Stegostoma tigrinum: one gene and its partners. The protein of the gene in region 1 purifies or fractionates together with the protein of each later gene. This does not show direct contact. Links are inferred from orthologs where the notes say so. Each region holds a gene or a part of one and is shown on either strand. Other genes may lie near its edges. The genes, in order: chuk, eif2ak2, map3k7 and pias1b.

Region 1 (6,989 bases):
TGTCCGGCTTTGTGAAGGTCAGTTCCACCCACCCACCGCACATCATAACCTTTAATTCCTTTACTGTTCAAAAATCAATCTTTGCTTTCAAAACATTCAACAAGATAGTCTCAACTGCTTAACTGGGCAGGGAGTTCCACAGATTCACAAACTTTGGGAGAAGAAGTTCCTCATCATCTCAGTCCTAAATCTGCCCCTCATTTTGAAGCTTGCCCCCTGTCCTAGGTTTCACCCACCAGTGGGAACAGCCTCCCTGCCTCTATCTCATCTATTCCCTTCATAATTTAAATGTTTCTAATTCTTCTAAATTCCAGTGAGCTAGTCCCAGGCTATTCAATCCCTCCTTATAAGCCAACCTTCTCAACTCCAGAATCAACCTAGTGAAGCTCCTCTGCAACCCTTCTGGTGCCAGTACATCCTTTCTCAAGTAAGAACACCAAAACTGATGGGTAGTAAATGGTGGGGTCTTTGCAACTGACAGAGATAAAACAAAAACAAAAAGACCTCCCACCCCCATCGCCCATTTGCTTTGACTCACTAAATGTACAGTAAATCCATTCCATCACACTGCACTTCATCTGTGAAAAGCTTTAGAGTACTATATATCTGAAACTCAGCAGTTGAATTTTTCTCTAGTTATAAGAGCATTTGCCATTTACAACCAATGTGAGTCTGTGACAGCATGATGTGCTTGAAATTTATTATTACTTCAAAAGTTTTCATGACTCTAGGTTGTTTTTACAAGATAGTCTTTCGGGTAATTTGCATCATATAATATTTTTAGCTTCATAAAATAATATTGAAACTTCAGAAATAAATATTAGAATAAGTACTTTATTGTTGTCTTGGGAATCAGAATAGAAGCAACATACAGACACACGGTCTCCATAGAAAGGAGAGTACATATTTGGGGATTAGTAAGTAAGTATAAACCATATTCACAAAGGACCATAGTAAAGTTACAGTAACATGTCCAAGACCAAATCTACTAGTTGCAGTATGGAGTCAGCAGATCTTGGTTAGATTGCAGACTGGGCTCAGTCAAACCAATACAAAGGTGTGGCAAGATTTAACCAAAATGAGTACTTTGTTATGAAGACAAATTGAAGTACCGCGCCCAATTTGGGTGATTAATCATTCTCCCACACATGAGTTGTAGAAAGCGTATAAACCTGAAATTTTAAAATATGTTTATTTTTCCAAGATACTTAAAGCAAAAGAAAATTTATCTCAAACAAGTTTTCAGGATCTGGGCTAACAGCAGATTATAAGTTCGCATTGTACTGGTTTAATTGTATCAGTGACAGTAACATAAAATCTTTTTGGCTCAAGTTGAGGAAATGTTGTCTTCTAAGTAAACCTTTCCTGTATTTAATCATAGGAGCAAACACTATTACATTTTACCAATTTTGGTTACAGCCTAGGCGCAAGAACAGTTCCCACCTCGTGAGGGAAGTGGCGAAACCTAATGCTAGAGAGAATCTACATAAATCTCAGCACTTAACTATGTCCAAACTCATATCACAACTTCCATATCCTGGTAAAAGTGCAGTAATTCTTACATATGTAAATGTAGTGTTAACCTGAGGAAATGTCAAAGAGAAGGGATTGAGTGGGTAGCTGAAACCAAATTTGAATTTCTCATCGGAATGTTGCATTCTCATCTCCATGGATATATGAAGCTCAGCTGCATGAAAGCAGGCAATATGTGAGAGGTTATGCTACCTGTAACTTGGAAAAAAAAAGGAATGAGTATAACAATGTGACAATAAGAAAAATGCATTAGTTTATCCAGTTCTGTGATTCTGGATGTGAGTTTCGGCTTCATCAGAGGCTCACTGATGATGTTATCTAGAATGGTGACGAAACGTCTGAAAACTAACCTTCCAGCTCAGTGAGCAAACTCACATCCAGAACCTCAACCTGAGCTATAAATCTTCTCAAAACTTGCAAGTTCTGTGATTATAACTTGTGGAAAATATGTCATTTTGTTACTTTTTACAATAATCTTCAGATTTTCAGCTTGATATCTACAAACTGAGTAAAAGAAATCTACACAATATTTACTCCACACATTCAAAATGGACAAGAGTATTTTTAGTATACAATTTCAGCAGTTAAACATAGACTGTCTGAGTCCTAAAATACCTATTTATTACAGTAATCAACAAAAACAATGCTTCCTGGTGTGAAATGCTTTCCAGATATTGTACAACAATTTTAGACAAGTACCACTTACCATTACAAAAGCAAAATATACTGTATAAATAGAATACAGTGGTTAGGAACACTGGAGTATGGTTTATACCTAGTTGATTCTACACAAATAATACGATAGAAGTAAAAGGGTAAGATGTTGGATAATATCAGCGGGTCTGGTGATGTCTGTGGAGAGAGAAACAGAGTTAATATAGAGTTCACAATGCCTTCTTCAGAATTGAGGGCAGCTGGAAAAATGATTTTATGCATTGGAAAAAAAGGGGAAAGAGGAGCAAAGGGAGAGGATGGGAAGGGTATCACAGGGAAAAAGACAAAGGGATTGCTCAAAGATTGTAGAGAAGCAATGTGAAGTGTAAATTTTTATTTGTGGTATGTCCAGGAAATGATCGTTCTTTTTCATCCTCAAACATTTCATACAATTGCAGAGACTCTTATATTGCATCCAAAATGCAGTTTAAAGTACATTGGTTAGGTCATACTTTAAACTTTTAAAGTTAATTTGTGTAATCATGAGGGCAATAGATGCATGTGAACACCACCACCTGTAAGTTCTCCTCCAAGCTATATTGCTGTTACTTAATTGTCACTGAGTCAAAATACTGGAATTCCAATCCTAACAGCAATGTGGATGTTCCTGTACTTCAAGGAATGCAGTTGTCCAAGAAGGCAGCTCATAAGCACCTTCTTCAGAGAAATTTGGGATGGTGTCCTGGACAGCCACATCCCATGACCAATTGTAAATTTCACAACATTTCCAAGTCTTTTGCTGTCTACAAATTTTGAAATTGTGCCATGCATAGCTTTCTATTTATAGTCCCACAACATTGGCCACTGCTGTAAAATCACTGCAATATCTCCAACTGCAAAGATAATTCAGGTTATGTTGGCTCATGAGTCACAATGTTCCATGTAACAGCTTGGCTGCAAAGCAGCAGACCACAAAACAAAGGGGAGGTTTTAAAAATTCTTTCACAGGATGTTAGAGCCTGTTGAAGCAATAGAGAGCAGCCTTCTTCATCCGCTGTAGCAAATGTACTGCATTTGGGGTGTAGGTCTCTTGAAAGTATTTAGAGCAAGTGTGAAAGGTTCTGGAAAGTTAAACTCCCATGGTCCGTGGTCAATAGATCCCTCAAGCATTATCAGTAAAGCAAATTATGTGGTCATTATTACATGAATGTTTGTGGCAGCTTGCTGTGAAGAAGTTGGTGGCCATGTTTCCTTAATTACAGCAGTTGACAACACATAAAAAGAACCAGTGCTTCATGATAAAGAACGATGGCATTTCAGGAGTCGTGAAAGGAGCTATTAAAATGCAAACGTTCTGAAGAAAGTCACATAGGTTTAGTCATTCGACGGAGTGACTGGTGTTGGTTTAACCTGAGGGTCATCACCTTTCAGGTGAAGAGACAAGTTGGAGGAGGAGGGTCCTTCATAGTAACCTCAGCCGGTGCTTGAAACGGACATGATAGATGCTGCCAGACTAATCAAGTTTCTCCAAAACACATTTAAAAATTTCAGATTTCTAGCAAATTATAAGTGGGAAAGGCTGATCAGCACTCAGTCTGTTTACTTTTGCTTTCGGGTTGAGAAGTTTGTTACTTCACCCCATGCACAACTCTCCCGCGAGAGCACGTGAAAAGATGCCACCCACGCCCCAGGTCCGCGACACACCTAGCTGTCAATCATTGCGGAGGCTGGCCCTCCAGGCCATGGGGGCGGGGTTTCACACTAAGCCCAGGCGTAGCGTCTTATCGAGAAAGAACTACAACTCCCGGCGTCCCGCGGGCGCGCTTGTGTGTCGCAGTTGCGGGAAATGTCTCTGATCAAGATTGATGAAAGAAGCAAAGTGTGATCACTTCTAACGTGTTTTTATTTGTTTTTCCGCATCGCAGTTTAATCATTTCTGCCTCCAGGAAGCGATTCCTTCGGTTAGCTTTCGGCTGCAAGGTAGGATTCGTAAAGGAGTCCCCGGTTTGACTGTTGGAGTTCCCTTAAACTAAGGCCTAAAGTGTCACTGTGCCGTGAATGACTTGCGTCTGTAATCGGTTGAGCATCAGTTGATGACATTGGAAAATGTGTCTTTGCGAAAATAGTTTGGATAACATACTTTTATGGCAGACTTTTATTTTTCTGTTGTTCTTGGTTCTCTTAAAAATGTTTTTAGATTTTCTGGTTATTTTGAGACTAGTGTGTATGATGTCATAGTCATGCCATCAACTTTTTGCCAGGACTTGGCCTAAGGTCGATTTATGTTAGCTAAAATGGGCAGGTTTCCCTTGGTTTTATTAGATCCTGGCATTTATTTTTAATCAGTACTTCAGTATGGTATTCGAATGATTAGTTTACAGCTCGTCCATTAGATTGAGTGGCATGTCAAATTTTTGAAACTGGATCACCTCCTTAAAGGAGGTTGGGGATGATTTTTCTTTCAGAGATTTTTGAGACAAGAATCTGCTAATTTTTGAATTTGGAGCCAAAAAATAATCACAGCAAAGATCAAAATGGTCGGGCATGCACCTGATTTATATTGCCTTATGATCTGTACTGCTTTTTCTAGTTGCTGCAGTTGTCAAAGACACCGAAGAATGCCATTATCATGAAGTGAAAAGGTATAGTCAAGAGCACCCTTCCAGTTCTTTCCTCTACTTAGGCAAATTTTGTATGTTTTCACGATGTTGGAAAAGGTCTTAAGCCTGATGTCCAAACCATGTCAAGGGGAGGCAGACAGTAGCTTCAAGAAAAGTCCACTTCTTATTCCTTGAGACCACAGGAGGCATTTAAAACACTGCAGCAGTGATTGATTTTTCTCCTTTGCTCCTAAATGCTATCTCTATCTACAGCACTTTTATAATTGTAATGGAGTCCTATAAAAGCAAGTATATACAGGTTATAATGTCTGTTTGTGGGCAGGATGATAAGAAAAGTTCTAATTCTAATAATTCCACATTATGCAAGGAAGCACCAAAATTTGAAATTTGAAGACTTTGGAGTATATATTATAGCTTAGATTTTCACAACAAAACCTAATGTTCATATGTAAATGTATAAGCATTGTCCAATGTACCCTTTAAATTTATACATCAAAAAGTGACATTTATTAGTAATTGAAAGAAGTGGGATGAACAAGTTAATAAATGATATCTTTCTGACTTGGGTTTTGCACCTTTTTAATATTGTAGTTTAATTTTGTAAATGTTCTTGCTCTTGTGAGGTTTATGTAGAGATTCAATAAAGTAATTGTTATAATTACAGGTTACATTTAGTTATGTTTTTTCCCACATTTTGTCTTTAATGATTTGAAAAAGTAATGCATTCATATTCAAATTTACAAAGGAAAAACCCAGGTCACATTTGGTGCAAATTATGTCCTCCAACAAGCAATATGACATAGTGGATGTATTAGATAAATTCAGAGATGGTTTGAACAGGAAATGTACTGAAGGCTCTGAAAATGTAGCAGAAGGTGCCTTCTTGGTTATTATAATGTTATTATTATCATTATCAGGACTTAAGAACGGGAGTTTGCCATTCAACCCCTCAAGTCTTTCAGTGAGTTCATGGCTGATCTCTGTCTTGCCTCCATCCAGTCATGTCACTATATACGATTACCTTTCCTCGGAAAATGTATTGATCTTCAATTTAATTGTTTGAGTGCAGGATTTCTTTGCTGAAAATAAACATTTTGTCAAACTTTTAGTCTTGTGCTGGGTCAGGACATTTAACAAAAATACAAGTTTGAAGGGAAAATTCCATTTTTACTGCATGAGCAGAGTGCTGATTGGCAAATTAAAGCCAACATAAAAATGTAGTTGAATTTTAAGTCTAAATTGTGTTCAGAGTAACTCCCATTTCCTTGATCTATTGTTGTAACTGAAATAGTAGCATCTTTATAAGACAGCCATGCTGTTATGTTGAATTAATCACAGTTGCAAGTTTCAGCAAGTTGCATGCATTCAGAAGGCTATAAAATTAGGCAGAAGATTGGAAATAGCATTCCTATCAAGCTCTAACCTTTTTCCTTTACTATTTACTGGGAAATTGATGACTGGACATATGATTTTATACAGCCTTTTAAGATACTTTTCAGTTACTTAAAATTGGGTTATCACTAGTTTGTGGATGATTAAAATGCATAAGTTTTTTTGTGAAATAATTTTAGCTCAGTTAATCAAATTACACAAGGTTGCCATTCTTGCATCAAGAATTCTTTCAAGTATAGAAGAAATCACCATTGTTCTAAAATACTGTCTAATCTGGCATGTGGCAAAAATTACATATGGTGATACTCAAATTAATTTGGACATACTTCTCAAAACTTAATACAATTAACACTGACTAACCAAACATAAATTTGTTCTTTTGTACTGTGGATGAGTAAAATGCAACAAAAATTGAAATAATAAATAAGAACTTCATAGCCAAACTTTACATGACCAAGGAAACATTAACAGCAAGGTTTTGTGTTTGTTTGTGTGCAAAGGGGTTCAAGAGAAAAGAAACTTTTAAGCTGAGTTTTTGCAAACATGAAAGCCCTTCTAAACTTTACAGAGTGCAACTTCCCTCACTAAATGTGGCTGAATTATCTACAGTTGCATGAGAATGCAAGCAAATGTCCATTGGCCTGTATCCAGAAATAAAAAATCAAGCAGGTTTGGTTGTATTGGTGGAATTTTGGTGCAAACCACTTGCTTGAAAAAACTCTGTCTCTCCATGAAAAGTCAGGTCAATGACAGTATCCTATGTATAGAGAGGCAAATACATCAACCTAA
Region 2 (7,032 bases), on another chromosome or scaffold:
TACCAACTCTCTAAAGAGCATCGTACCTAGGACCCCCCCACCAAATGCCTGCACTTCCCATGGCCATCCCAGCTCACCTGCACACCTTTGGATTGTGCGAGGAAACCCACACAGACATGAGGAAAAAACTTGTAACCGCTACACAGTCGCCTGAGGCTGGATTGAGCTCAAGACTCTGGCATTGTGAGGTAGCAGTGCCAACCACCGAGCCACTGTGATTTTCCCCTGGAATACTGCAAGCTGTTTTTGGTTCCCTTTATCTAAGGAAAGCTATACTGATACTAGAAGCCATCAGAGAAGGTTCACTAGACTGATTCTGGGAATGAAAAAACTGTCTTACGAGTAGAGGTTGGATAGGTTCGGCCTGTATTTGTTAAAATATAGAAGAATGAGAGGTGACCTTTTTGAAACATACGTGATTCTTATGGGACTGGACAACATTGTACATGTGGAAAGGTTCATTTCCTCTTGTGGAAGACTCTAGTTCTAGAAGGCATAATCTCCAAGCAAGAGGTTAAACATTCAAGAAACAGGTATGGGGGAATTTATTCTGAGTGTAGTGAATATGTGGAATTCTTTATCTCAGATGGCTTTAGAAGCTAGGTTGTTTCCCGTAAGCAAAAAAAAACTAAAATCAATTCTTATAACTGAAAGCAAGCTGAATAGTCTTGAATGTTCACTCTGTATTTGTAAACATCTCACCAATGCAAACACATTGCCGTTATCAGCCCTGATCGTGTCTCATATACACACTCATTTTAGAAAAAGATTCCAGAGATATTGAGAAGTTGTTGATAATGGACAAACTAGCAATGTGAAGAAATTCCCACTCTTTTGAGATTGCAGAGACATCAAGGTAGGAGGTATTCAGTCTCCCGGCCCATCCACTCCCTCTCATATGACCGATTACATCCTTTTTTCTTCATTTAACTTTTGAATCAAATTCACTTTTTCTTCTTTCTGTGGGGGTGTATTTAGAGAGAGGTTGCAGGGAGCTGTTGAGTGGTGGATCCAGTCCATTCCTCGTGGCCATGGTAGTAATTGTTTCAGCAACTGTTCCAGCGTTGATGGGTTGGGGCCGGTTCTTTTCCTTTGGTGTTTTGGCAGCATCTGCAATTGCGGCAGAGTGAATGATCCTTTGATCCTGGGGAGTTCATTTGGATGGTGTGTCGGTCCTTGGAAGCTGAGAATGGACAGCAGTCTGTGAAAGTTGGGACAGTCTCCTGGCTATGGCGGCAGCTGGAGTATCAGTGATGATCAGGTACCTTTGGCAGAGATGGTGTTGGGTCAGCAGGGGGTTACTTCAGTGTGCTTCCTCCTTGGTGTTGCAGCCTCATGGACAGTTTTGACACCTGCAGAGTAAGGCACATCAGGTAGTCACTTGTGAATTCAAGAAGCCATTGTTGGAACAAAAACATGAAATTTGTCTTGACTTAGTATGTATTATTTCTTTTTTATAATTTATGTAATTAAAATGGTGCCAGATTAATTATGATGACTTAGGCATGTTTTGGCAGTATTTTTCATAAATACATGTAACAGTAAATTACTATGATAATAATATTATATTTGCTACTACCCAATACCCAATGATCTACACATGACCACACTGTTTTGATTTGATGTATTGTCACATGTACCTAAGTACAGTGAAAAGCTTTGTTTGTGAGCAGTACAGGCTGATCATAGTAAGCAAGGGCATACAGATTATAGGGTGAAAAAGAAACTTTGACAGAGGAAGGTATACAGGTTACACTGCAAAGGCTGTGTGATAAGCAAGTTCAACATAAAACAAGACCAGCATTGTTTTAAGTTAGAGAGTCCATTCATTAGTCTATGTCGACTGTCTCCCTTTGTTTCTCAAGGTGGCATTTCAAAGATCTTTGTCAGCTGGTGGGTATCAATTTGCAATGGGTCAGTGATGATGCTTCTTGTGTCGCTAATCCTTCACATCTAACTTACCCGTTGTCATAAAGTGGACCAACACCTTCATCAATACTCTTCCTGACAGGAGGTGTCAGCTGAAGAGAAAATTAGTGGCATGTAGTTGGGATTCCATCCTTTGGAAAGGGGCACACATGGAACCAAAGAGACCTTGAAATATGAGATAACAAGGTGTAGAGCTGGATGAACAGTTACTAGTGGTGTACCGCAAGGGTCAGTGTTGGGCCCACTGCTGTTTGTCATTTTTATAAATGACCTGGATGAGGGCGTAGAAGGATGGGTTAGTAAATTTGCAGACAACACTAAGATCGGTGGAGTTGTGGATAGCGACGAAGGATGCTGTAGGTTGCAGAGAGACATAGATAAGCTGCAGAGCTGGGCTGAGAGGTGGCAAATGGAGTTTAATGCAGACAAGTGTGAGGTGATGCACTTTGGTAGGAGTAACCGGAATGCAAAGTACTGGGCTAATGGTAAGATTCTTAGTAGTGTAGATGAGCAGAGAGATCTCGGTGTCCATGTACACAGATCCTTGAAAGTTGACAGGGTTGTTAAGAAGGCATACAGTGTTTTAGTTTTTATTAATAGAGGGATCGAGTTCCGGAACCAAGAGGTTATGCTGCAGCTGTACAAAACTCTGGTGCGGCCGCACATGGAGTATTGCATACAGTTCTGGTCACCGCATTATAAGAACGATGTGGAAGCTTTGGAAAGGGTGCAGAGGAGATTTACGAGGATGTTGCCTGGTATGGAGAGAAGGTCTTACGAGGAAAGGCTGAGGGACTTGAGGCTGTTTTCATTAGAGAGAAGAAGGTTGAGAGGTGACTTAATTGAGACATATAAAATAATCAGAGGGTTAGATAGGGTGGATAGGGAGAGCCTTTTTCCTAGGATGGTGACGGCGAGCACAAGGGGGCATAGCTTTAAATTGAGGGGTGAAAGATATAGGACAGATGTCAGAGGTAGTTTTTTCACTCAGAGAGTAGTAAGGGAATGGAACGCTTTTTCTGCAACGGTAGTAGATTCGCCAACTTTAAGAACATTTAAGTCATGATTGGACAAGCATATGGACGTACATGGAATAGTGTGGGTTGGATGGGCTTCAGATCGGTATGACAGGTTGGCACAACATCGAGGGCTGAAGGGCCTGTACTGTGCTGTAACGTTCTATGTTCTATGTTCTAACACAGCAGGCCAAGCATCATCAGAGGAGCAGGAAAGCTGACAGTTTGGGCCTTGACCCTTCTTCAGAAATGTGTGAGGGGAAGGGGATTCTGAAATAAATAGGGAGAGACAGGGAGGCAGATACAAGATGGATAAAGGAGAATATAGGTGGAGAGGAGACAGACAAGTCAAAGAGGCAGGGATGGAGCCAGTAAAAATGAGTGTAGGTGGGGAGTTAGGAAGGGGATAGGTCAGTCCAGGGAGAACGGACAGGTGAAGGGGGCGGGGTTAGATTAGTGGGTAGGAGATGGGGATGGGGTTTGAGGTGGCAGGACGGACAGGTTAGGGTTGCGGTCGGTGGAGGGGAGATTCTGAAGCTTGTGAAGTCAACATTAATACCATTGGGCTGCAGGGTTCCCAAGCAGAATATGAGTTGCTTTTCCTGCAACTTCGTGTAGCATGATTATGGCACTGCAGGAGGCCCAGGATGGACATGTCGTCTGAGGAATGGGAGGGGGAGTTGAAATACTTTGCGACTGGGAGGTGCAGTTGTTTATTGCGAACCGAGCAGAGGTGTTCTGCAAAGCGGTCCCCAAGCCTCCGCTTGGTTTCCCCAATGTAGAGGATGCCACAACGACCTTGAAATAAAAACTGCATGGCCTCCAATAAAGGAGGGTGTGCACTTCATGGGATAGCAGATCAAGTTCCTTGCCAGTGAACACTATCCAGGAAGCAGCTTTTCCCCACAGAAAAGAAGTGGTGGAGGTGATGATTTTTGACACCCTGACTGGTAGTCCGCTGGGAAAAGCCACTCCCTATAAGTTTGGCATTGTGTCTGACACTTCCTTCAAACAAGTTCAGCCAGATGAATTCCAATGCCTCTTCCCCAAAAACTCATACTGTATTAAAACACGCTCCTTTCATTAAACACCCACTCTAAATCTACACCCTCCCTTGCATCCATCCCCCTTCATTCCGCTCCGTGTTTGCAATGTGAGCCACGCAGTGGTTCCAGCTCTGATCCTTAAAGGCCTCTCTCAGTAACGCTGCAGGAAAGCGAAAGTAAAAGGAGCGGAGGCCGAGAAACGAAACTCTCTTTCCGACTGAAGGAAGAGACAATTTGCGTTCACGGTCTCCACTGCGAGAGTCAAGAGATTGCTGCTGTGAGCGCTGACGGTGAGTTTTCCTGGGGCTCTGAACGCATTACAGAATAATGTTATATTACACACACCGGCCGAAGCTTTACGGGGCACGCACCGTGGGTTCGGCAGGGGTTGCAGTATGACTCAGCTTTCAAAAATCTTCTTACCGATTAGTTACTTGATGGTGAATATTGTTTTACTGTCACCTCCGTTACAGTGGACTCTGAGTCGCAGGTTAGGGATTTAAGTCTTTCCTTCAGAGACTGAGTACAGAATTAAGGCTGACACCATCACTGTTAGTCTCTCAGATGAGACATTAACCCGAGGCTGGACCGCTCTCCTAGTTGGAACAACTGGGAGATGTGTATCTTTTCACAACCCGTTACCGGTCCCTTGGCCTTCTGCAGCTTTGTAAATGTTATCGCTGTTACATAGGAACAGGGCCAGACCATCCCATGAGCGTATGCATGGTTTACTTCATATCCCTGCTTTTCCCCATCTTCCTTACATTTTCCTCAAAAATCTGTCAATTTCTGTCTCGTTTAAATCACTTTGTATCATTTCGATTGCCTGTTGCTGAAGATAATTTGAAATTTCTAAGGCCCTGTTGAAGAGTATCCTCATCCCTCTGCCGCAAGTCTAGCTCAGAGAGCCCCCTGTGCAGACAGAAGCAGAGTTAAAGTTTCAAATCCAGTGACCCTTTGTCAGAAGGATCATAATCTGAAGGGTCATTGGACTCAACTATTTGCTCTGCTTTCCTCTCTCTCTATACAGATACTGACAGATCTGCTGAGTTTCTCCAGCACTTGCTGCTCGTTTCAAATTTCCAGCATCTGCAGTACTTTTATTAAGCTGTTTTATGTTGTTTGTATTATTGCTTTTTTATTGCAGTCTTAAATAGAGAATTGAAGGAAAAGAAATTGATCTAATATATCTGTAGAAATAACCTATATATTTTCTACACTAAACATGTTCTTATCAAAATGATCCTGGCGTTTCAATGTGTTAACTGGAACATTTGATTGTAATGAAGGGAAATCCTTTATTAGTTTGTGAGTGTCTGAATTCTGCACATTCAGCAATGTTTCAATTATTGGTGGGGAGCATTAATTGACATCACATGAAAAGGGTGTGCTGATTGGCTGGCCAGATTATGAGCCCAATGAATCATCTTAAATTGGTTTTTAGCGTAATTGTTGTCACACTCAGGATTGTTTGTAACTGCTATCTAATCTTCTAAACCAGCCACATTCCTGTTCCATATAATACTACCTAGCTCCCTGACTCATTTCCTTGGGTGTAGAGGGACTAGTAAGGGGGAACAAAAATCTTGAGATCTCTTCAAATCTGATATTTTCTTTTATCTGAAATTTGATATGTCACAATGAGACCACAAGAAATTGGAACGGGGTAGATGATTCAATCTGTTGAGTCTGTTGTGCCATTCAATGGGATTATGAGTAATGTCCCCTTGGGTAATTTTCCTCATGTCTGCTTTCCTGTCTTTTCCCTCTAATCCTTGATTCCGCTACTGATGAAGAAACTATCTCAGCCTCAAATTTTCATAAGGACTCCGTCCACACAACTCTGTGTGGCAAGGAGTTCCAAAGATTCTCAACCCTCTGAGAGTTTGAGGGTGAAATATTGGCCAGGATATTGCACTGCATTTCATGACGTTCTTTACATTGTGTGTATAGGATCTTTTATGTCCACTCAAGCAGGTAGACACTTGAAGGTCTGATTGAAAACATAAGAACTGTGATAGCACACCTTGGATGTGACAGCCTCGAAGATACACTCACCTCTCAGTATGTGGATTGAACTCTCGGCCTTTGGAATAAATTTAACTCTGGGTTTAAAATCCATGTTTAGCCTTTGCTTTGCCCTAGAGCCAAGTCAGGCCAGGAAAATACTTTGCAGGATGCCTAGCTTGTAGCGTGAATGAATTTTAAAGAATATTGCACGAGAACTGATTTATCTTTCCAAATCAAGGCATTAGTAAATACATTTCCCTGTATTTTACACAAACAAATACTCCTACCAGGACTCCTAACAGCTGTAATGAGTTTTATAAGAAGTGTTTGGAAAAGTGGTGCATCCAGTTTACAATTGCCTGTTGCCATCTATGTAAGGGAGATGATTTAGATTTGGATGAAAATTTGCAGTGGGCAATATTGGATCTGCTGCCTGTTGTACATGACTCCTAGTTTCATTTCCTGTGGAAGTCACAAGGAAGTCTGATATTAATACTTCACTTCTTTGTAATGACAATTCTTGGTTGGTGAGAAAGAGACAGTCTGTCAAAACCTTTTGTCTCGCAGTCATCAGAACAGACACAAGAATTCCAAAGTTTAATGGTGGGGAGCACTAAATGACATCACATATGAAAGAAATACTGATTGGCAGATTGTGAGCCCAATGGAGCATCTTAAATTGGTTTTTGCATAATTGTTGTCACACTCAGGATTGTTCAGTAACAGATATCAAAACAGGGATTTATATGTATCATTGGAACATTACATTCTGTGTTTTACAAACATTTTGTGAGTTGAGCATGTCCAGTACTCTGCCTACTGCAAGGGAATGTGATGTTTAATACAACTCAACAGTCATTGGGATATGGGGCCCAGATATGTTAGCATTACACCGGCACTGAAATTCACATAACTGCATTACTCATTTGTGTGTCATGAAGAAAGCAGCACAAGCATCTGTATGGAAAACCATGTTCCTGTCTTGATTGCAATCCTATTAATGGAAAATATCAGTTATAGTATTACTTCAT
Region 3 (7,969 bases), on another chromosome or scaffold:
ATCATCCCAGGGATCAGTCTGGTGAACATTCCTTGCATTTCTTCTATGCCAAATATATCTTTTCCACTAACTGAAATCAAAACTGTACACAATACTCCAGGTGTGGTCTCAGGAAGGCTCTATAAAACAATCATGGTAACACTTACTCCTGCAATCAAATCAACTATCATTAAAGGCCAGCATTCTACTTGCCTTCTTAAATGCTTGCAGCATTTGCATGTTAGCTTTCAATTACCTAAGGACAAGGACAGCCAGACTCCTTTAGACATTAACGCTTCTAAATCTCTCACCATTTATTAAATGTTCTGCATTTCTCTTTCCTACCAAAGTGGATACTTTCATGGTTTTTTCACATTATATCTCATTTACCATATTTTTGCTCACTTACTTAGCTTTTCCAAATCTGCTTGAAGCGTCTCAAGTCACATTCCCACCTAGTTTCAGGCTGATGTGTGTAGCACATGGGATGTATAAGTTACTAGATTTACTTTAACATTTTAAGGATAATTCAAAGAATCATTCAATGGTTGCAGCACAGAAGGAGGTCATTGGGCCTGTCATGTCTCGAGCAACTCTACACAAAAAAATTAAACTTGTATTACTCCACTGCCTGCTCCTTTCAGTGCTGCAAATTTCTGCTCTTCAGATAGTGATCCAAAGCTATTGTGCAAGTTGAATGTGCTAATCAAGAAAATCTGGAATTGTTCTTGCTCTTGAAATCACCTCTTTAAACAATGTTCTCTTTTCCAATTATTAACAGGAGGAAGCTCCTGCACAATTTGTTTATATTTCCCTCCAACATGACATTGATCAAAAGTATTTCGTCATTTATGTCATCCTTGGAGAATAATTTCATTGGAGAGAGAACATCAAATGAAGCTTCAATATCAAGTTTAAGGTCTTCATTTGTTACTTTAACAAAAAGGCTTTACAAGCTCATGGAAGTTTGGACACTGAACAATTCAATATATTCTAAAATTGAATATGTGAAGACAAGATCGATCATATTTTTAATCCACAGCATCTGCTCAATTAACTCCAATCATTTGATTGATTTTGTAACCATCCTCTCAGTCAGTTTACTTGTACAGGTTTCTTTACTGGATCACAGTTAGGAACAAGACAGATGACAGCCCAGGGATTCCTGCTTCTTTGACTGCATTGCAGGGACCTCTGCTGGAAGCCCACAATGGTTAATTATTGGATTGGGCTCTGCAGTCAAATTCTACTGCCACTGTTTTCAGTCTTAATTACATCAAAATGGTTTGAAACATTTAGAATTTTAGGATAGTTTTTCTTAATTCATGCTGGTTGTAAATTTTAAGTAAAATCAAATTCATTGCATACTTTCAAAGGTACAAATGAAATTCTCACAATGTCCAGTGTCACAAAATGTAGTGGCTAAGTGGCAGTATCCCAAATCTGTGCCAGATTCAAGTCCCACTTGTTCCAGGGCTGTGTATAACATCTCTCAACAGGTTGTTTTTTTTAAAAATACCTTGAACTGGATTCTCATTGACTTGAGATAGTATAATATACAATACAACATAGAAACAGATCTTTCATCCTAAGAGTCAGTTACTTTTTATTTAATTCTATGCTAATTTAAATACCAAAGTAACTGAAATCCACATTCACCTATCACAATATAGTAGATAAGTGCACATCATGCTCACTTAAAATAGTCACATTCATCTGTACAATGGATTAGAACAAAAGAATTTGTTGGTTGACTAAAAGGGAGATGTTAATGCAATCTCTACAGTTACAGCAATATTGCAATCGCATTTTCAAAAAAAGAAAGCCAAATCTGAAACAGTTACATTGTTAAAAATGGAAGGCTGAAGATCCATCAAAATTTGGCATAGCTTTCTTCATTATGCAATGGGAAGTCATTTCTCCCCCACAAAAAGTTAATTATCTACACTAAAGATTAGTTGGTAATCTACAAGTTCACCAAAAACATCAACCTTCAGAATCCTGGAAAATCAACAGGAGCAAATGTTATAGCCTGGTAGTTCCTTACTGCAAGTGCATATATTAGCAGCAAGTTAGACAGAATTTAAACTTTTACTTTAGACACCAAGTTGCTGGGGAAGAAATGAAATCAGTTTGCCATAACGAGGAAAGTATTCAAATAATTTCTGATCATGTTTATACAGAGTTTATAAACAAAAGCTTTCAAGAAAAACAAGGAATATAAATAAATAAGTATAAGTATATCCCAGTTAAACAATTCAAATTTTGTAGCCACTCTTTTCCGAACTGTCTTACGTTGGGGGCGGGGTACTAGGATGCACAAACGACTAAAGTTCTCGTTCAAATTTAAAAAAAACTCAAAAAACAATAAAACTCTCCACAATTCTCACATACTCCAATGCACCAGAGAGAGACAGTATGAGATTACCAGAAGACATCAGACAGCACGAGATGTACCCTTCACTAACGTGTTTACAATCCATCTAAATGATCTGGACTTTAACCCATTTCCTTATTCTCTTAAACAAAACGGACGAGACTGGGGGCAGGGTGTTGCGGGCAGGGCTCGCTCCCCTTCCCCACGCTGGGGCCTAATACTTGACTCTCTCCCCTGGTTTGGTGTCTCCCCCAAAAGCAACAACACCCCACCCCCCCCCAACCCCGGCTCTTGCCTCACCTCCTCCACATCAATCTCATTGTAGTCGATCTCCTCGAAGTGCAGCGGGGGGGTGTCGATGATCTCCGCCGACATCCCTACAGCCGGCAGTGGGGGGCGGTCAACCCCAGGCCCCTGGCGCAAGCCGCCGGGCCGCCCGCCGCACTCGGCCTCTCGAATTCGCCGCCGGTGTCAGGAGCGGAGTTCGCCGAGGCCGGGCCGCGATTCCTGCAGCGCTCCGCTCCCACCAGCTTCGTCCGGCATTTCCGGGGTTAATCCCAGCCCGCAAACATCCGGGGAAAAGCGGCTTGCCGCCGGAACTGACGCTCTACACGAACGCAGGGATAACTAGTGGCAGAGACACACGGGCGATCCAGAGAAACCGCCGTCCCCAGGGAGGACGGATGGGTGGGGCGGAGTACTGGCAACGGTAAAAGAGCTTCCTACTACGCCTGCGTGACCTACTCGCCATTCCAACATCCGCGCCTGCGCAGCACTGCTTGGAATCGCTGCGCGTGAATTTTAAATTTGAAAGTTTTTTTTATAACCGGCGAAGCCGGAACTTGATTTAAAGCGACCTTTTCCTCACCGGCTGTCAGCATCGTTTCAAATGAGGACTCCGATGAACCCGGACTGTGAGCACAAACTCTGCTTCTCTCTCCAGACGCTGCCGGATCTGAGGAACGGTCACTGGACCCGAAACGTTAACTCTTGTTTTATTTTCCGTTCACAGATGCTGTCAGACCTGCTGAGCTTTTACAGCAGCTTCTGTTCTTGCTGCTGTGGGATCTGCCGAGTACCTCCAGCAATTTCTGTTTTTGTTGTTACGATCTCCAGCGGCCTTAGTTATTTGTTTTGTCGCATAATCGTTTTGCACTTACTGCACCAGCTCATTCGTTTCGCCGAGGAACTTTTCACTTCAAACTGAATAAACGGCCATCAGTTGCCGTGGTGAAAGTGAACATTTTATTCCAGCAAAACGTCTGAGTTTCGGTGGTGGAGTGACTGAATGTTTGTGGATATGGTGCCAATCCCTAGCGGGCTGCCTTGGCGTGGCTACTAGTTGAGTGTTGTTGGAGCTGAACCCATTCACAGACAAGTGGGGAGTACCCTGTCATACCCCTGACTTGTAAATGATGGACAGGGCTCTGGGAGGTTTGCAGGTGAATTACTTGCTGCAGGTTTCCTCCCATCTGACCTGCTGTTAAGGCCACAGTATGAATAGTTCAGTTCAGTTCCCGGTTAAGAAAACAGCAGGACATTGATTGGAGATCACAAAGTGCAGAGCTGAATGAAAACAGCAGGCCAAGCAGCATCAGAGGAGCAGGAAGGCTGACGTTTTGGGCCTAGACCCTTCTTCAGATATTGGTTGGCGTGGGCATTGGTGGCCTGGTAAGATAATGCCATCAAATGTCAAAGGGAAGTTCTTACTCAGTTGTTTGAAATGGTTGTTGCCTGGCACTTTTGTTGTATGAATGCAACTTACCATTTATTAGCTCAAGCCAGCAAGGCTTGGGAATTGTGATCAGAGATAATGGGAACTGCAGATGCTGAAGAATCCAAGATAATAAAATGTGAGGCTGGATGAACGCAACAGGCCGAGCAGCATCTCGGGAGCACAAAAGCTGATGTTTCGGGTCTAGACCCTTCATCAGAGAGGGGGATGGGGACAGGGTTCTGGAATAAATAGGAAGGGGGGGGTGGACCGAAGATGGAGAGAAAAGAAGATAGGTGGGGAGGTAGGGAGGGGATAGGTCAGTCCAGGGAAGATGGACAAGTCAAGGAGGTGGGATGAGGTTAGTAGGTAGGAAATGGAGGTGCGGCTTGAGGTGGGAGGAAGGGATAGGTGAGAGGAAAAACAGGTTAGGGAGGCAGGGACAAGCTGGGCTGGTTTTGGGATGCAGTGGCGGGGGACGAGCTGGGTTGGTTTTGGGATGCAGTGGGGGTAGGGGTGATTTTGAAGCTTGTGAAGTCCACATTGATACCATTGGGCTGCAGGGTTCCCAAGCGGAATATGAGTTGCTATTCCTGCAACCTTCGGGTGGCATCATTGTGGCACTGCAGGAGGCTCATGATGGACATGTCATCTGAGGAATGGGAGGGGGAGTTAAACTGGTTCGCAACTGGGAGGTGCAGTTGATTGTTGCGAACCGAGCGGAGGTGTTCTGCAAAGCGGTCCCCAAGCCTCCGCTTGGTTTCCCCAATGTAGAGGAAGCTGCACCGGGTACAGTGGATACAGTATACCACATTGGCAGATGTGCAGGTGAACATCTGCTTAATATGGAAAGTCATCTTGGGGCCTAGGAAGGGGGTGAGGGAGGAGGTGTAGGGGCAAGTGTAGCACTTGCCTCCCTAACCTGTTCTTCATCTCACCTATCCCTTCCTCCCACCTCAAGCCGCACCTCCATTTCCTACCTACTAACCTCATCCTGCCTCCTTGACCTGTCCCCTCCCCACCTATACTCTCCTCTCCACCTATCTCCTTTTCTCTCCATCTTTGGTCCTCCTCCCCCTCTCTCCCTATTTATTCCAGAACCCTCTCCCCATCCCCCTCTCTGATGAAGGGTCTAGGCCTGAAAAATAAGCTTTTGTGCTCCTGAAATGCTGCTTGGCCAGCTGTGTTCATCCAGCTCCACACTTTGTTATCAAGGCTTAGGAATTAGATTCTCAACAATCACCTGCAGAAAAGTACAGTAACCCTAAACGTCAGCTTTCCTGTTCCTCTGCTGCTTGACCTGCTGTGTTTATCCAGCTCTACGCCTTGTTATCTGAGTAAAATTGCAAGTCACCTTTTACAAATACTGGACTTCTCAGAGTTCTTACTAGTCAATGCAGTAGTTTTCCAACTGTAGAAACTCTGTGAAGTAGGAAACAAGGTGATGATCACTGTACAGTTAACTCAAAAAATGTGATAGTAACCAAATAACCTTTCTGTGATGTTGACGATAAATCAAATATTATCTAAAATACTTTTGATAGTACAGATTGGAGTATCTTAATTTCTATGCTCAAGCTCTGGAGTGGGACTTGAGTCCAGAACCTTACAGCCTAAGAGGCAAGAGAATTACCCTTTGAGCCAAGGCCAATTGGCATCTTGAACATGTACAGTACAATGTTATGGGGATGTCATGGGTTCTAACCATTTTGCTTGAGTATTGGAAAAATGTCTGGGAATGTAACAGAGAAGTCTCATCTCTACCTTCTGCATTTTCTTTCTGGCTAGCCAGTGATGAAATGGATTCGGACATGCTTTCCCAGGGTAGCAATGAAGCTGGGTTGATGCCAGGCTGACAGGCTCAAATGCAGACTTCCATTTATTGTGATATCGGTCCTGTGTTAATGATCAATGTTAGGTACTTAAGCCTTCATGTCGTACTGTCCACCCACTACATGCCACCTCTATAACCCCTCAGATTCCTTATTCTTTTCATATCATCTATAGTCCAGAGTCCCTCCATGTTCTTCAAGTTTCCCTTGCTTTGTCACACTTCCCATATGTCTCAAGTATCCTCCGGAGGCATTCACCCAGTACACACCACGGAAACAGCTCAGGATCTTAAAAAAAAAACTCAACAATCCAATTTCACTTGAAAATCTTCTCTTCCTCTGTGGAGTTACTCCACCTTTATAATCAAAAAATATGGAATTAGCACATTATCAGTGGTAAGGATGCTTCCCATAACAGTGGAAATAAAAAAGGGGAAAAAAGAAAAAAACTTACCTTTCCAAAAAATTAGATCCCTTCAGGCAGTCAATTGATTGTCGGAATAAACATCACTTCCACTATCCCATCAAAGATAGATAAGCCCTCAATATTTTCTCACAACTGGCCGTCATGCGTATACAGCTGAAATAGTGGTTCATAACCTTTTGAAACAGCCCAAGCATTCATCACAGGCTCAGATGGAATAAAAATCCCTGTGAATAATTAACAGTCGAGTCTGTTGCAACTAGAAAAAACCTAGATGACTGTTTCGTTCTGAATTACACCAGATGTCCCGCCAGTCACCACAGCCTAGGAACGTCTAAAGCAGATAAATACTACAGTGCAGAAGGCGGCTGTTGGGCCATTCACATCTGCATCAGCTCTTAAAATGAGCACCATTTACATCTCCTACTTTTTCCTCATATTCTTGCACATAATTGTGCAATGTCTTTTTGAGTGTCTCAATTGAACGTGCTTCCATGAGGCTTCAAGGCAGTATAGCTACTTTTGCAAATCATTTTAAATCTGTGCCGTCTCATTCTTGTTTCTTTTATGAGTGGGAACACTTTCTCCCTGTCCACTCTATTTAGCCTGCTTATGATTTTGCAAACTTCTATCAGATCTAAAGAGAACCGTCTCGCATCTTCAATCTATTCTCAAGCAAGTGAAGTAGGACTTTTTGTCTCTATAATTGAAAGCTGCAGGTTTTGCGCCCTGTTATTGAAAGGCATATAAAATCCAGCCTACAGCTTTTGGTTGTCACATATGCATGTGAAAAAATTTCATACATAGCTCTATGGAAAAAATGTCTTGGTGAAGAATAATCATTGTCCAGTGGAACACATGCGAGAAAAATAATCAGAGTTCCTGCAGGACTCCAAAGGTTATCCTTGAGGCTTGAGAGTCATCACTTCACTCTGAAATACAAGTCAGGAAGATAAATAGTGATTAGCAGATGTCCTATCTCTGTTGCCACCACAGGAGAAGCATGAAATAAAACATCTAGATATAAAAATCTATCACCTAATGAACATAGTAACAAGGAAACTGAGTCAATTTAGTTATCAATGAAGACAAAATGTTCTGGAAGATCTCTCAGCAAGTGATTCAGGGATATCTGTTTAGTTGATGCAAACACATGCAGTAATACTGCTGCATTGGTCTGTCAGTGTTGATGTCTCATTAGAAATTGACATTCCTCAGCCACATCCACCTAAAATGATTCACAAAGAGCTTCTATAAAAGATATGTGATGATCACCTGTGAGAGGAGAAGTGTAAGCTTGGAGCCAGATCAGTTGTATACTGAGTGGGCATCTATGAAGACATTGAATGAATGAATGAAAGAGCACCGTGCGGAGCTGGAGGAACACAGCAAACCGGGCAGCATCAGAGGAGCAGAAAAGCTAATGTTTCGGGTCAGGACCCTTCAGAAATGGGGGAAAGGAAGGGAACTGGGAAATAAACAGAGAGAGGGGTGGGGCTAGGCAAGGTAGGTGGGATGGTGATTTGTGAATGCAGGTGTGGATTCGTGGGGGTTGGTCAGTGGGATAGATGGGAAAGAAGATGGAAAGGTATCAGGTCAAGGAGGTGGGGATGAGAGGGAGGGTTGGATATGAGATGAGGCTG
Region 4 (7,939 bases), on another chromosome or scaffold:
AGAATCCACCTTGTCCTCGCATACTGTCCCACCAACCTCCACTTCCAGCGCATCATCCTCCAGCACTTCTGCCATCTGCAATCTGACCCCACTACCAAAGACATTTTTCCCTCCCCACCCTTATCTGCTTTCCGGAGGGACCACACTCTCCATGACTCCCTTGTCTGCTCCACACTCCCCACCACCCCTGGGACTTTTCCCACAACTGCAGGAAGTGCTACACCTCCCTCACTCCCATCCCAGGCCCCAAGAAGACCTTCCTCATCAAACAGAGATGTTCAATTGCACATCAGCTAACCTAGTATACTGCATCTGCTGTTCCTGATGTGGCTGCCTGTACATCGGGGAAACCAAGCGGGGGCTTGGGGACCGCTTTGTGGAACACCTATGCTCTGTTCGCAACAAACAACTGCACCTCCCAGTCATGAACCATTTCAACTCCCCTCTTCCCTCTTCTTCCCACCCCCCCCCTCCCCCTCCCCCCCCCCCAACTCCTCAGACAATATGTCCATCCTGACCCTCCTGCATTGCCACAACGATGCTACTCGAAGGTTGTGGAACAGCACCTCATATTTCACTTGGGAACCCTGCAGTCCAACTGTATCAACGTGGACTTCATAAGCTTCAAAATCTCCCATCTTCTGACAACATCCCAAAACCAGCCCAGCTTGACCCTGCCTCACTAACCTGTCCTTCCTTCCAACTATTCCCTCCTCTCACCTCCAAGCCCCACCTCCTTCTCCCTACCAGCCTCATCCTGTCCCTTTGACCTGTCCGTCCTTCCTGGACTGACCTATCCCCTGGCCCCTAACTCCACACCTACACTCACCTTTATTGGCTCCACCCCCGCCTTTTTGACCTGTCTGTTTCTTCTCCACCTATCTTTTCCTTTATCCATCTTCTATTCGCCACCCCCTCTCTCCCTATTTATTTCAGGATCCCCTTCCCTTTCCCCATTTCTGAAGATGGCTGTAGGCCTGAAATGTCTGCCTTCCTGCACCTCTGCTGCTTGGCCTGCTGTGTTCATTCAGCTCTACACGTTGTTATCTCGGATTCTCCAGCATCTGCAGTTCCTACTATCTCTTGAGTACTCACTGCTGTGAGGCCCCTTAAATTCTCATCTTTTCTTCATTAGTTGGCACAGCCTGATGGTCGTATCTTTGAGCCCTGATTTTTAAGCATGCCACAGTGCACTCGATCTTGCATCACAAGCCCCACCTGCAACTTTCAATTTGGACATGTGGCATCTGGGGCATTAAAATAGACTTGTACCAGGAAGAAGTTTGGAAAGCACTTGTCTACAGAGCAGCAGTGTTATCAGCCCTTCTGCATGTGTTGGAGACATGTTCAATGTGCAGGAGACTCCCTCAAGTGCCTAAGAGAAATCACTAGCAATGCCTGTACAAATTCTTGCAAATTCATGGCAGGGTAGGTGATTCAGTATCAGTGTTCTCACAAGGGCCAGCATCCCTGGCAATGGAGATACTGTTTCTGGTCACTATGGTGCTTTGGATGAACCATGGTTTCCATGTGCCTGATAAGACTCCAAATCAGCTCCCCACTATGGGTTTCATTGACAAGAAGAAAGAGGAAATGTTTCAGTGCTGATCTCAAAATTTCATGAAGCAATACATTATCCCACCTAATTGTGGAAATAGCTTGCCCAAGATCATCTGAAATGGGGAAGGAACAATCCATTTTCAGCTTCTCCGAACGGTCCAAATAGAAACCAACGTACACAGCAGAATGTGAAATCCTTGAGTAGCCAAACCACCTGCTTCAGCAAACAGCACCCGTCCCATCTGTGACAGAATATGTGGTCCTAGTATAGAACTATTTAGTTACCATGTGACTCAAAATTGGAATGAAAGAACGTCAACCTTGGTTGCATGAGACTTTCTAAAAACAAGAGCCCACCAAGTGGTAGTGGTAATGTAGGGTGTGGTATAAATCAGGAAATTAGGAGTGCATTCAGACATAGTAATCATGGCAAACAACAATTTGCGTGTAGACTGGATTAACCTCATTAATTCCAATGCTGTGGAAAATAATCCCTGGAATATACATGTGATGGTACAGTTTGCTGAATAACCAACTAGAGAATGGGCTAGATCTTTGCAACTAGAAAGGGCTTATGCATTTATTACAAAGGGACCTTTAGGGAATAGTGACCATACTGTGATAGAACTTTGTTGTTTGAAAGTGATGTAGTTCAGTCGAACTTGGAGTATTTTTATCTTTTGTAGTGTTCCTTATTTAGATTTGAGCAGCAATTTGCACTGGAAAGTTAAATGATATGGCTGTAGACAGGTGTTTAAAGAATTAATACATTGCTTACAACAAATGTGCATTCTTTTGAGGCTCAAAACTCCCAATAGGAAAAGTGATTCAATTGAGGTTGACAAAATAATTCAAAGATTATATTAGATCAAAGGAAGAGGCTTTGTAAAGTTACTGAAAAAATAATAATAAGCTTGAGGATTAGGAGAACTTTAAAATTCAATTGACGACCAATAAGCTAATGAAGAAAAGAAAAGTGAAATATAGAAGTAAACTGGTGTGAAACCAAAAAGGTCACTGTCTTTTTATCATGTAAAAAGTAAAAGATCATCAAAGATAAATGTCCCATGACACGGAAGCAGGATAGTCTGTCTATCTGGGAAGTAAATGGGCAGAGAAACTAAACAAATACTTGATCTGCCTTTGCAGAGAAAATGCAGACAAAAGTTCCCAAAAATAAGAGAACTGAAGGACTAGTGAGCATGAGGGACTGAAAGTAATAGATGTTGGTAAGAAAAACAAAGTAGCAGAGATCTTAATGAGATCAAAAAGATGATCAACGGTGATTTTTTTTTCAAATATAAAAAAAACTTGTGAATGTTGCTGGGTAGACCTTAACTAAAATATAAATTATATCCCAGAATTGAGAGAGGTGACTGTAGATATAGTGGTTGCATTATGTGGTGGTCATTGTTACTTCATAGATTCTGGAAAGATTCCTGCTGATTGGAAGGTAGACCCTGCTATTTAAGAAAGGAAGGAGATAGGAAACAGAATTGTTTCCTTACACTGGTGAGTGACATCACTGGGGAAAATGCTAAAATCTGTTACAAAGAACAGTAACTGGGCGTTTCAAAATAATGGAAGGATTGGGCAGAGTCATTATGTTTTCCTTGCATAAAAATGTTTGATAAAGCTATTGGAGCTTTGTGGATATTAGCAGAATAGATAGAGGAGAACAAGTGGATGTGGTGCATTTCAATTTTCAGAAGGCCTTTAATAAGGATCTGTACAAAAGGTTAGCGCAATTTGTGTGCGTAGAATTGGGGATAATTTACTGGTATAGATTGAGATTTGGTTAGTGAAGAATCTTAGCAGGATCTTTGACAGGCTGTGAATGGTGGGGTGTGGCAAGGATCACTGCGTGGACTCCAGCTATTGACTGATTCCTGGGATGGCAGGATATGAGAAGAGATTGAGGCAAGCCTGCCTGTATTCTCTAGAATTCAGGAAAATAAGTGATCTGATTGAAGCATACAAAATTCTTACAGACCTTGACAGATGCGATCAGACTAGATTTTTCCGCTGCCTTGAGTCTAAAACTGGGGACACAGTCTCAAAATAAGGGATATGAGATGTGTTTATTAATTTTAGTTTTTTTGAATCAACAACTGATACTTCTCCTATTATTACATGCATCCTGTCTATAATTATGAGACCTTTTCCCCCCACAGTTGTTGAAATAATTTGCACAACTATTCTGTTTTGCAGGAGAGAATACTTGTTGATATTAACTGTTGTATCATTTATATAGTGAACTGACTGGATGGTAGGTCATAATTGGCTTTCTTTATGGATTTATTAAAACCAGAAGTACAGAGTAAAATTTCATTTATTTAAAACCAGACACTGGGGTTCCAATTGCACTTCTTATTTTGAGAATTATATTTGTGACTGGAAATTAGAGAAGTACGTTATCCATTAGTTGAGCAATTAGATTGGCTGAAATGGTGTATATTTTTGCGTGTGGTGAGCCTTCATTCTGCAGGTGTATGTAATACTTTGTATGTAATATCCCCACGCTCTCAGCTTGTTGCCAGGAACTACCATTCTAACTCAATGCAAACTGAAGCATGGATAGTAAAAATTTAAATTGAATTTATTTCAGAAGCTGATGGAGTTTTTTATGGTTTCGGGATTAATAAACCATGAGGCATAGATACGTGTTAATTGGCTTCTGATGTAAAGTGTGAGATTATGTATATTTTAATATTCATTTTAGAGTTTGGATTTCAGCTAGTGATGTAGATTTTGATCTGTTTACCTACAAGTGTTTATGACTAATATTAAAGTATTTCTGTACCCATAGTGATTTATTTTAAAGCAGTTTTCAAACTTTCTGGATAGTATAGGATTTTGTTTACATTGGGAGAGTTTGAGTCAACAAAGTAGATCGTCTGTTAGGCTGTCGGAGGATTCTGGAATTCCTTTGGGCTTGGAAAAAACATTTTTGATCTCACTTTGGGACAGTTTGCAGAAGTCATGGCAGATGCTGGATGTACAAAACAGATACTCCTGAGAATGGGAAGTTGCAGACTGTTCAGATAGAGAGTGAGGTAATGACGAAGAGCATCTCAACCACTGCACATAGCCAGTGGCTGTAGAACCGTTTTCTATCAAGACCCCTTGTAGGTGTCTTCAGGAGTGCATGACATGAGCATTAATTTGAAATGGAATTGAGATTTTATTCTCAGTTACCTTGTCCATGCATTGTTGTATTTCTGTAGATGGTCTAATCTTGCCTAATGTCTTTAATGGTATGGTTTTTACACAGTTAATTTCCACAAAACTGCAGTAATTTTGTGCTAACTCATTATCTGGTGTATGCTACGCTCAATAGTGTTACACAGTGAAATAACCACCTTTTCTGTACAGGAAAAGAAACATTGATGGGAAATCACTTTCCTGTAGCAGAGAATTATTACCTGGTAAGAGAAGAGCAACACTTTGTTTTTTCGGAGTGGAACCCTGCAGAAAGTTGCAAGTGAAAATGGCAATGCTTGTGTGTCTGCTATACTGTATTAGCTCAACACTATAAAATTTATGCAATTCTTCTTTGAGGCCTTTTCTTGCTCAATCGGATGATCATAACCACCAAGCTAAAAAGGAATCTTCTGATTAAGACCTTCTAATTCACAGAGGACGTTTTAGTCTGATTCATATCCATCACCCCGCACTGAAATCTCAGCTCATGTGTTGGCAGGTGCGACAAATTCTGCCACTACAGGTGAGATGATCCATGATATTCTGAAATCAACTGTATGCTAAACAAAACCACCTAATAATTTCTTTATTTTCAACCCCAATTAATTCTATCTCCAGTTTTCAAAATGAATTTCAGGAATCAAATTCACATCTTTGCTGAACCTTCCCTGTCTGTACACTATCTGTGTACTGCACTTTGTTGAAATTTGCTGATTTGTTTTTGAGATGTAATGTTTACAGTCAAACAGAAATGAATATGGTCTGTGATGAAGCGGAAAAAGATAGAGTACGTTCCATGAGCTTAAACTTAGATTTTGTAAGTTGCATTTCTCATACAAAACGTGACCTGCAATAATAACATTTTGGCGTTGTGTTGTTGAAATTGAATTTGTAGGAATTGCAGATGCTGTGGGCACCAGTTTTATAGATGTTACAACTGAGATATTCCGTAATATGGGCAGAGGCTTAACCGCTGCATTGGTTAGTGGAAATTTACTAATTAAAAATGGTAATCATATGCCTGTTACTCACTGCTCCAAATTCTGTCCTTGGATACAAATGATGCTTCTTTTCAATTCTCTCTTCTGTTTTGCTTATATTAATGATGCATAAATATTTATAAAATATTTTGTAAGTGTTGAAATATTCCAAAACACAACAGGTGAGATATTACTAATTTGATTGGGAGGTTTTTAATTGTATAGATGCTATGAGATTGATTTTGAGGTAGCAAATTAATTCAAATGTTTAATTTTCAGGCCTTGAAGTTGATATTTTGGTTAAGCTATGAAAACCATTTGGACTCAATGTCAGGTTTTATTGAGATGCAGTAACCTTCCGAGGATCTGAGACACAAACACATTACAGTAGCAACATAATGAGTGGCTTGGTGTTATGGGCGTTGCAAGAAATTCTCATGGTACCTCAGTAAGCTATATGGTTGATCTGTGTAACCTTTGTAGAACTGTTGAGCAGTGCCTACACAGTGTTTCATTAACTGTCAGATTTTAGATAATTTTGACTGCTTAATTGAAAAAGATAGTTGACTAATTTCATGTTTTTTTAAGTGTGGATGGTGAGTGGCATGTTTTTGTGACCCATTATGTAAAATAAAACTCTCTGATGTACTCATTTGGTGTTATTCTGTAGAAAGCCCAGCAGCCGTTACTTTTGTTGTAGAATGCGAATTAGGCAAAGAAATGGTGGTATAGTGAAATTACATCCAATGTAGATAATTGAGGGTTGAGCTTAGAGTTTTATAAAATCATGAGGGCCTAAATAAGGTGAGTAGCAAAGGTCTTTTCCTCCGACTAGAGAAGTTCAAAACTGGAGGGCATTTTTTACGGTGAGAAGAAAGATTTAAAAGGGACCCGAGGGCAACTTTTTCATATGTGGAATAATCTGCCAGAGGAACTGGTCGATGCAAGTGCACTTACAACATTTAAAAGACATTTGGGCAGGTACATAAATAGGAAAGATTTGGGGAAAAGAGTGCAATGCAAGCAAATAGGACGAGTTCTGTGTTTGGGAAACTTGGCATGAACGAGTTGGACCAAAGGTTCTGTTTTCTGTGCTGTATGGTTCTATGACTGACCCAATCAATTGCATATGATTGGACTAATATCCTTAGAATTGATTTTTTAAAAAATCTTATAGATGTCAAATTGTGTGTGGTGTATATAACTCCTTTAATCTGGTTGCAAGGCTATTACCGTTGTTGATTATAATTGAACTCCCATGATATTGTGTATGTGGTTAATTTTGATAGTGACTGAGATTGTGCATGGTGCTATTTAGTGATTCCAGAAGTGATTGTGGTGTGTGTAGTCTCTGCTGTGTTGATGCTTGGTGAGATTCACTTCTGTCACTGGCGCTTTGATAGTTACTTCATGTGAGATCCTGCATGCTCTAGTAATGTACTTGTACTGGAGTCTACTTTATTAGCCGAAAACTTTTTATTTACATTTGTACCTTCCACAGTTCAACATGTTGAATAATACTTGGAGGAAGCACTGAGCATGGCAAGGGTGCAAAATGTACTCTGGATGGGGGAATCCGTGTCTGCCACTAAGAGTGTTTCGACAGCAGTGTTACTGATCAAGTTGGTCGGGTGACGTAGCTACTAAACTGGTATCCAGCAGTTGTTGATGGGAGAAACATATTTGATGTCATCCTTCACAATCTGTTGATTGCCAACATATCTATCATTGATAGTATCTTTAGGAGTGAACACCACACAATCACTGTGGTAAATGGGACAGACTTCAAACAGATCGAGCAGTTCAAGACTAGGCATCCATGAGGTGCTGTGAACCATCAACAGCAGAATTGTACTCCACAATCTACAACCTCATGGCCTGGCATATTCCGCTCTTGACCATTACCATCAAGCCAGGGGATCAACCCTGGTTCAATGGAGAGTGCAGGAGGGCATGCCAGGAACAGAACAGGTATACCTAAAGACAAGGTCAACCTGGTGGAGCAAGTAAACAGGACTAATTGCAAGCCAAACAGCATACCAGTGATAGACAGAGCTCATTGATCCCATAACCAATGGGTCAGATCTAAGCACTGCAGTCCTGCCACATCTACTCATGAATAGTGGTGGACAATTAAACAACTCACTGAAGGAGGCTCCACAAATAGCCCCATCCTCAATGATAGAAGAACCCAA

Evidence for each region.
Region 2: the proteins of chuk (region 1) and eif2ak2 purify together in Homo sapiens (affinity purification with western blotting; 3 studies listed by BioGRID). This does not show direct contact. The link is inferred for Stegostoma tigrinum from reciprocal best matches to the Homo sapiens genes CHUK and EIF2AK2.
Region 3: the proteins of chuk (region 1) and map3k7 purify together in Homo sapiens (affinity purification with western blotting; 9 studies listed by BioGRID and IntAct, with this or other methods). This does not show direct contact. The link is inferred for Stegostoma tigrinum from reciprocal best matches to the Homo sapiens genes CHUK and MAP3K7.
Region 4: the proteins of chuk (region 1) and pias1b purify together in Homo sapiens (affinity purification with western blotting; 3 studies listed by BioGRID). This does not show direct contact. The link is inferred for Stegostoma tigrinum from reciprocal best matches to the Homo sapiens genes CHUK and PIAS1.

Annotation. Positions count from the first base shown.
Region 1 is NC_081390.1:13,732,526-13,739,514, forward strand, and holds the start of chuk (inhibitor of nuclear factor kappa-B kinase subunit alpha), read left to right. Parts: upstream 1-3,988; 5' UTR 3,989-4,167; intron 4,168-4,777; 5' UTR 4,778-4,829; intron 4,830-6,989.
Region 2 is NC_081357.1:95,093,065-95,100,096, forward strand, and holds the start of eif2ak2 (interferon-induced, double-stranded RNA-activated protein kinase), read left to right. Parts: upstream 1-4,027; 5' UTR 4,028-4,281; intron 4,282-7,032.
Region 3 is NC_081357.1:54,993,338-55,001,306, reverse strand, and holds the start of map3k7 (mitogen-activated protein kinase kinase kinase 7), read right to left. Parts: upstream 3,019-7,969; 5' UTR 2,732-3,018; coding exon 2,657-2,731; intron 1-2,656. UniProt on the Homo sapiens protein: Serine/threonine kinase which acts as an essential component of the MAP kinase signal transduction pathway. Plays an important role in the cascades of cellular responses evoked by changes in the environment.
Region 4 is NC_081386.1:29,954,569-29,962,507, reverse strand, and holds the start of pias1b (E3 SUMO-protein ligase PIAS1), read left to right. Parts: upstream 1-4,939; 5' UTR 4,940-4,949; coding exon 4,950-4,988; intron 4,989-7,939. UniProt on the Homo sapiens protein: Functions as an E3-type small ubiquitin-like modifier (SUMO) ligase, stabilizing the interaction between UBE2I and the substrate, and as a SUMO-tethering factor. Catalyzes sumoylation of various proteins, such as CEBPB, MRE11, MTA1, PTK2 and PML.